2 linked regions of the Rattus norvegicus genome follow. The protein of the gene in region 1 interacts with the protein of each later gene in a biochemical or structural test. Links are inferred from orthologs where the notes say so. Each region holds a gene or a part of one and is shown in the gene's direction. Other genes may lie near its edges.

Region 1 (3,511 bases):
ATATTTTGATAGTGCAGTTAAAAATTTACAAGAGTGACATATTCTAGATATTATTATTTAAAAGATTATATGAGGCAAAGTTTATAATACCTAACAGGATGGCTAAATTTGATACACTGGATGAATAGCTCAGGCAATGTCTGATTAAAATTTGTAGATGTAAGTACCAACATGTCAAGGCTTTTGTGTCTTTAGATTCTGCCATTGTCTGTGGTGTATGAGAATCTCAGGATTTAGAAACTTAGACCCAAATATCATTTTGTAATAGGGTAAAGAAATATATCCAATTTAAGTTTTTTTAAGAAATATGTTTTAAAATTGAAGTACAAGGAAATCATCAGAAAGCTGAAATAGTATGCATCTATACTTTTATTGTTTAATTTTCAGTTAAAGGGATGTATCCAAGGCCATGTACATTCTAAACCTACATTGTAATACTGAACTATATCCTAGTCTGAATTAGTATGTCCTGATTAGGATCGATGCAGAGGATAAGCTTTGATTTCCTAGTAGAGTTTTTTGCAGTTGTATTTGAAATAGACTTTTGTTCTGTAGCCCTGGCTGGACTTGAATGCCTGTCTTGTAATCTTCCTGCCTCAGCTTCCCAAGTGCAGGGATTGGAGGTGCATACCTCATGCCCAACTTACATATCTACTTCCATTGAAATATTTGTTTTGAAGAAATATATTCTTGACCTTGCCCAAATATGCCAAAATACTGTTGATAGTAGCAGTGATCTTATGTCACCTGGATTAACTCACAGGAAGACCCAAATTATAGTGTCACATGGGCTTTCCTTTAGGTTCGTGTGCCCAAGAATGAAATTTGATAGCAGAAAGAGTGGATGCATTTCCTAGGGGGTAGTTATATATTAACCAAGGTTAGAAACTTTAGATTATTTAAAATTGGTAAGTCGACCCCTCAGTTCCATTATCACACTTAGAAAATGGAAAAATAAAAGCTCTTTATGTTATCTAACAGGCTTTGTGTATATGTGTGACTATTCTCAGTTGCCTCAAAAAAGGATGCTTACGGTTGAAATGATTGAAGCAGGATCCAGGCAGTACACATAGCACTTGGTGAATGTGTCCTTGAACTTTGGTTTCTTTCCCGCTTCCCTCACTCATTGTTCTCATTTACTGAAAACAAACAAATGTTTTCTATTAAATGAGACTGAGGAACTTAAGTTTTAGCATTCACAACTAACTGTCCCTGGCATCCCATAGGCACTTACTTAGTTTTGGTGAATAACGTTAACAATACTCAAGGTAATGTGTCTTGTTTCTGCAGGTTGATCCAAAAGATTACACGTTTAGTGGACTAAAGGACGAAACAGTAGGTCGCTTACCTGGAAAAGTGGCAGGACAACAGTTTGTCATTCAAGACTGTGAGAACTGTAACATCTATATTTTTGACCACTCAGCTACTATTACTATTGATGACTGTACTAACTGTGTAATTTTTTTGGGACCAGTGAAAGGCAGTGTGTTTTTCCGAAATTGTAGAGATTGCAAGTGCACATTGGCTTGCCAACAATTTCGTGTAAGGGACTGTAGAAAGTTGGAAGTCTTTTTGTGCTGTGCCACTCAACCCATTATTGAATCTTCTACAAACATCAAGTTTGGCTGTTTTCAATGGTACTACCCTGAATTGGCAGCCCAATTCAAAGATGCAGGCCTCAGTATCTTCAATAACATATGGAGTCATGTTCATGATTTTACACCTGTGTCCGGAGAGCTCAACTGGAGCCTTCTGCCAGAAAATGCTGTGGTTCAAGACTATGTTCCTCTCCCAACGACTGAAGAGTTCAAAGCTGTGCGAATTTCCACAGATCCCAATAGAAGCATTGTTCCTGTATCCCGGGGTCAGAGACAGAAGTACAGTGATGAATCATGTCTCGTGGTGTTATTTGCCGATGATTATACAACAGCAAATGCCAGGAAACTAATTGATGAGGTAAGGAGAAAGAGAAGAGAAATAGTCATACATAGGAGGGCCATGCTACATTGGAGACTTTCGAGGTTTTCTTGTTTTCAAATTTATTATTAAAAATACTGGCAGCCCTTAAGTTAGTCCCCCCAACTCCTTGCCTCCACAAGGCTTGCCTTAGAAGCAGATCACTCGGTCTTCAAAATCCTTCTCCAGAAAACTTTTCATCCTAGTTCAAATCAGTAAGCATTCTTTAGCACCAATTATATGTGGGTCATGTTGTTACCATATTTCATTCATTATATGATGCATGTTTGTTTTCCACATCTTTGCTTACATACTTTGTAATTAGTTGCAACTTAGAAATAATTGAACATAGTTGATGCTGGAAATGAAGGCATATAGATACAATTCTCTGCCTCAAGAACTGTCATTCTTCATCATAAACAATTTCTATGCATACTCACAACAGTACTGCATATGGAATCATGGCCTTTCCTAATGAGGAAACTTCTTTGGAGTTTTAATTGGTTGTAAATGACACTTGAGAATATGTTTAGACCCTGCTGTGACAGTGCACATCACAGCCCCATTCACACTGGGCTCCTTATTAGCTCATGCCCCATTGCCATTGATAGGACACTGGGATAGACTCTAATATAGACTCAATAATATGAAGAAGATGAGGATTGGAATGTCAAAAGCTCTAGCACTTATGAGGAGAGGCTTTCTGTGAGGTCATTAAGTAGAGAAGAGTTATTGCACAGCAGCTTCCCCTTGAAAAAGCATTTGAGGGGAGAGCAGTAGTTCCTTAGTTGGTAGGTGTGCCAGTAAGAAGATGCATTGATCAGGATTTATCCAATAGAATCAGTTTAAACTTAAAAATCAAGTTTTCAGAAGTGGATAAGTAAGTTTCTTTCTGAAGGGATTGTTGTAAATTTGAAGTACACCAAAAGGAATGATTTTTCTAGACAAAATGTAAAAATGAGTATCTCTATAATTACATATCTGTAATGCAGAGAATCCATGTCTGAACTCTACAAAGTATATTGGAGGCACAGGTTTTAAAACTATAGAACCTAAAGTATAATTTTAAAACTTTGATACATTACTCATTATTGATTTTTTTTATTCAGAATCTCTCTCTGTGTAGCCATACCTAGCCTGAAACTTATTTATGTAGAGCAGGCTGTATCTTGAACTTCCCACAATCTTTCTGCCTCTGTGTTCCAATGGCTTAAGCCATTATATCTGGCTTCAGATGTTGTTTTCTTTTGTTATGCCAGTATGGTAAAAGCATGCTGTAAGTTTTGTAAAATGTAGAAAATATGCCTATAGCCTTTGCCACTATCTAGTCACAACGTTAATTCAATATCTGAGAAATAAATATCTTCACTGTGTTGTAGGGCAAATTTCTTTTATATGGTGAATTTTTACTACATATAATTTTCAAAAGATTAATCATGAAGTTAAACTCCTTTGGTAGATAACCAGGAGTAGATATATAGATGTTAATATGTTAACATGTTTTAAAAAATGCCATCAACTCAGTCTTTATTTATGAGTCATGAATGTTCTGAAT
Region 2 (3,944 bases), on another chromosome or scaffold:
CTGAGGAGAGGGACGTAGTGTAGCTCAGTGGCAGAGAAGGCTTGCCTGCCCAGTACAAATCTCTGCCTCCTGAGTTCAGTCCTGGAGGGCAAACGGCATTCCTACCTGAGCCACAGTGTTTACAAGCAACACTATAAAATAAAGGGTTTACAAGTTAGTTCAAGTCCGGACTCTATCATCTACACCTAGGGCTGCAAGGAAATTAAACCTCGTATAAGAAACATTCCACTAGGAAGAATGCAATTTCCACGACGGCAGGTTGTACTCCAGTGTCAAGAACCCGACCTGCCACAAAGGTAAGGGTAACTTTCCAGTGGTCCCGCTTGCAGTCCAACATGGCTTTACCAAAATCCAGAGGATCCCAGACAATTTAACACTCCCGATGCCGGCTAACCTCAATGCTAGGGACTGGTTCCTAACCTGCCTATCGCCCTCTCTCAGGGGACCTCCCCCAACCCAGCAGAAATCACCTATCCTGGAGATAGACACTCAGCCCACAACTTCTGAGCCCTAAATCCTGACACCCGAAGACAACGAGGTTCAGAAGAGAGGAATCCACTGGAGCCCTGGTCCGTCCCTCCCGCCACGCGGCTTCTACAGATGCAAGTCCAGCACGCAGTGCCTGGCAGCCACCACAGAAGGGAGCCAGGCTCCCTTCGGAGGCGCGGGGAATAGGAGTAGCTGTGCTTTTGGCTTGCACTTGAGGACTCTTACCTGGTCCCAGAGGGGATGCAGCCCGCGACAGCCACCAGACGAAGCTGACTAGGAAAGCAGAACTGAAGTGTCGCGGCTAGGCCCGGGAACCACCCCCTCGCCCTACGCCCACCTTTCCGACCAATCACAGGCCACAGGCTCCGGCCAGCCACGTGGGCGGTTTTGCACCTCCCGCAGGCCCGCTCGCCAGCTCGCCCCGCCCTCCCGCCACTCCCGAGACCGCCTGCGCAATGGGCGGGTGCTTTGGCGCGCTTGCGCACTTTGGGTAGAGAGGAGCAGAACCCCGCCCCATCCCGCTGCTCTGCTCCTTCGCTGTGCGTGCGAGGGACGTCAGGGGCGGCGCCGCAGCAGTTACCCCTGGTAACGGGGGAGGCAGGAGGAGGAGGCGGAGGAGGAGGAGGAGGAGGAGGAGGAGGAGGGACTCGGCTTGAGGATGGTGAGTGTGGGGGCCCCGGCCCTTCAGAGCTGACCAGTCACCCCCCCCTCCTGTCCCCAGGCCCAGGGCGGGGCGCTGCTCTTAAAGCGGAGGAGGACGTGGGATGGAGCTCGCCTTGCTCTTTCGGGTTCTAGATCGGTTTCAGGGGCGAAGGAGGAGCCCCTAAAGTGGGCCTGGAGGGAGGCCTAGGCCTAGGGAGAAAGGAGGGGTTTGCGATGGATCCGAGGCGTGGAGAGGGTACTTTAGTGCTTCTCTGGCGGGGATGAAGCCTAGCACCATCATCTTTCTGGGATGAAGGCGGCTCTGGAACTGCGGAGATCAGGCCGGGCTCACAGGCTTAGATCATACTGCAGAGCCGACCTCTCGGAGCCTCGGGACTGTGGGGTCCATCTGAGACCCGGCCAAAAGTGGGAGAGGCGCAGCGCTACGGTCTTTGAGATCACCCTCGTGGCACCAGGGAGCTGTAACCTAGTTTTCCTTTCCTAGATGCTCGCGTCTCTGAGTGAGAGAGGTGTGTAGGGAGTAAGTCCCAGGACAATAAGAGGTACCGCTGGAGATGAATGTCCCTGTGGTAGGTGCGCTCCTGCAGTCCCAACTTAGTCGCTGAAAGTTCTGCGAAGGTCTAATGGTTGTTGACGACCGATTTTTCGTTCCGTATTTATTCCATGTTGATAGAAGCAAATGGTCTTCGCCTCAAATGAGAAATAGAGAGTGAGCATCAATTTGAAACAAGCCTGTTCTCCGTTAGCCATAATTAAGGCCTTTCCAAAGTGTAAGTTAGGGTGTGTGACAGATTTGACGGGAGACACTCAGTTCCTTGTTGATTTTTTTTAAATTATTATTTTATTTACATGTGTACCAGTGTTTACCCTGTGTGTATGTTTGTGCACCACGTGTGTGCCTGGTTCCTGCAGAGGCCAGAAGAGGGCTTTGATGGAGCTGGAGTTATGGATGTCTGGGAACCGTCATGTGGGGACTGAACATCATGAGCGTTACTGAACATCTATCTGCCCTCCTTGTTAATTTTATACGCGGTAGATGGAGTAAAAACGAAGTTACGGGGAAATTAATATTTTTAGAGCTAGTCAAAGAAAACTTGATTTTAAAGCACTTAGTTTTTTTTTGTTTGTTTGTTTGTTTGTTTTTCGGAGCTGGGGACCGAACCCAGGACCTTGCACTTGCTAGGCAAGCGCTCTACCGCTGAGCCAAATCCCCAACCCCGATTTTAAAACACTTAGAACAGGTTGGTTGGCTTACTAAAGCTCAGAGCCAGTTACTGTTGCTTCTCTCATACACCACATTATTTTTGTAAAAATTTGGGGCCGCTTCTGTTGACTTAAGCCTAGTACTAGGGGTATAGCTTACTGGGTAGAGGTTTGCTTAGCAAGCATGAAGTCCTGAGTAAAACCATAGATGGGCAGGGGCTAAATTACACATCTGTTTTGGTATAATTATTGATCGAGTAAATTTTGACCAAAAAAATTTACAATGTCAAATTATTTAGTAGAATTATTTAATCTTAGGTTGTCAATCACACTTCATGCTTGTTACATTTACAGTTATTTCTAACCTCAGGCTAAACAGATTTTAACAAGCATTTTCTTTTTATTATTTACATATGAGCTGCCCATTTAAAGGCTGGGATTGTCTTAACAAATGAGTGCAGATATAAATATTTACACAGAAAATAAACAGATTTGAGAAAGGGGCCCTGCAACCCCTGTAACCTCAGCACTTGGGAGGTAGAAGGAGGAGCAGGAATTCAAGACCAGCCTGGGCTACATAAGACTCTGTTTCGTAATGAGTAGGTAATTTTTAAATTAATGGAAATAATTAGAACTGCAATTAAAAGACCTTGCCAGGATGTGTGTGGTGGCTCCTGCCTGTAATCCCAGTCCTCTCCATGTTAAATTAAGAGGATCACCATGAGTTAAGAGGCCAACCTGGACTACAGTTTCAGGTCGGCCTCAGCTAGATGGAGACCCTGCCCCAACAGCCATCCCCTTAAAAGAAAGAAACACATGCCAAACCAGGAGAAAATAAATGAGAAACAGTTTACTAACTTTCTTCAGTTTTTCAATTAAGTAGAGTACATAATTTTATGACTGCTTAATTTATAATTATAGGTCACAGTAAATGAACCACTGCTTGTGTTTCTAGGTGCAAATTGGCACTGTATTTAAGTATATAACAAATTGACCGTGTATATACAGATAAATATATATATATATATACACACACATATATATATATATATATATATCTTAGTGTTTTGACTGCAAACATGTATGTACACCGTAGGCATGTCTTGTGTCCAAGGAGGCCAGAAGAGGGCATTGCATCCACTGAAGCTACAGTCAGTTTTGAGCCACGGTGTGGGTGTTGAGAACTGAACTCCAGTTCTCTACAAGAGCAGTGAGTGCTTTTTTTTTTTTTCTATGTTGAATATTTTGTCTACCTGTACATATATATACCACATGAATCCCTCATGCCTTCAGAAATTAGGAGAGGGCTTCGAATCCTTTGGAACTAGAGTTACAGGCAGTTGTGAGCCACCTTGTAGAGGCTGGGAATAAGACCTGGGTCCTCTGTAAAAGCAACAAGTGCTCTTAACCACTGAGCCTTCTCTCCAGTCCAAAACAATTTTTTAAAAAAACTATTGGATTTATTAATTTTATTTGATCTGTCTTTTGCCTGCCTGTATGTGTGTGCACCACATAATACTTGCCGCCTTCAGAGGAGAACACCAGAACCCTGGGCGCTGGGTTACTGCTGTGTGGGTGCTAGGAACTGA

Evidence for each region. The genes of interacting proteins can lie anywhere in the genome.
Region 2: the proteins of Rp2 (region 1) and Arl3 form a complex in vitro, tested with the Homo sapiens proteins (2 studies listed by BioGRID). The link is inferred for Rattus norvegicus from reciprocal best matches to the Homo sapiens genes RP2 and ARL3.

The regions. Positions count from the first base shown.
Region 1 is NC_086039.1:4,456,684-4,460,194, reverse strand, and holds part of Rp2 (protein XRP2), read left to right. Parts: intron 1-1,290; coding exon 1,291-1,956; intron 1,957-3,511. UniProt on the Homo sapiens protein: Acts as a GTPase-activating protein (GAP) involved in trafficking between the Golgi and the ciliary membrane.
Region 2 is NC_086019.1:255,385,283-255,389,226, reverse strand, and holds the start of Arl3 (ADP-ribosylation factor-like protein 3), read left to right. Parts: upstream 1-1,139; 5' UTR 1,140-1,147; coding exon 1,148-1,150; intron 1,151-1,638; exon of another isoform or gene 1,639-1,706; coding exon of another isoform or gene 1,707-1,721; intron 1,722-3,944. UniProt on the Homo sapiens protein: Small GTP-binding protein which cycles between an inactive GDP-bound and an active GTP-bound form, and the rate of cycling is regulated by guanine nucleotide exchange factors (GEF) and GTPase-activating proteins (GAP).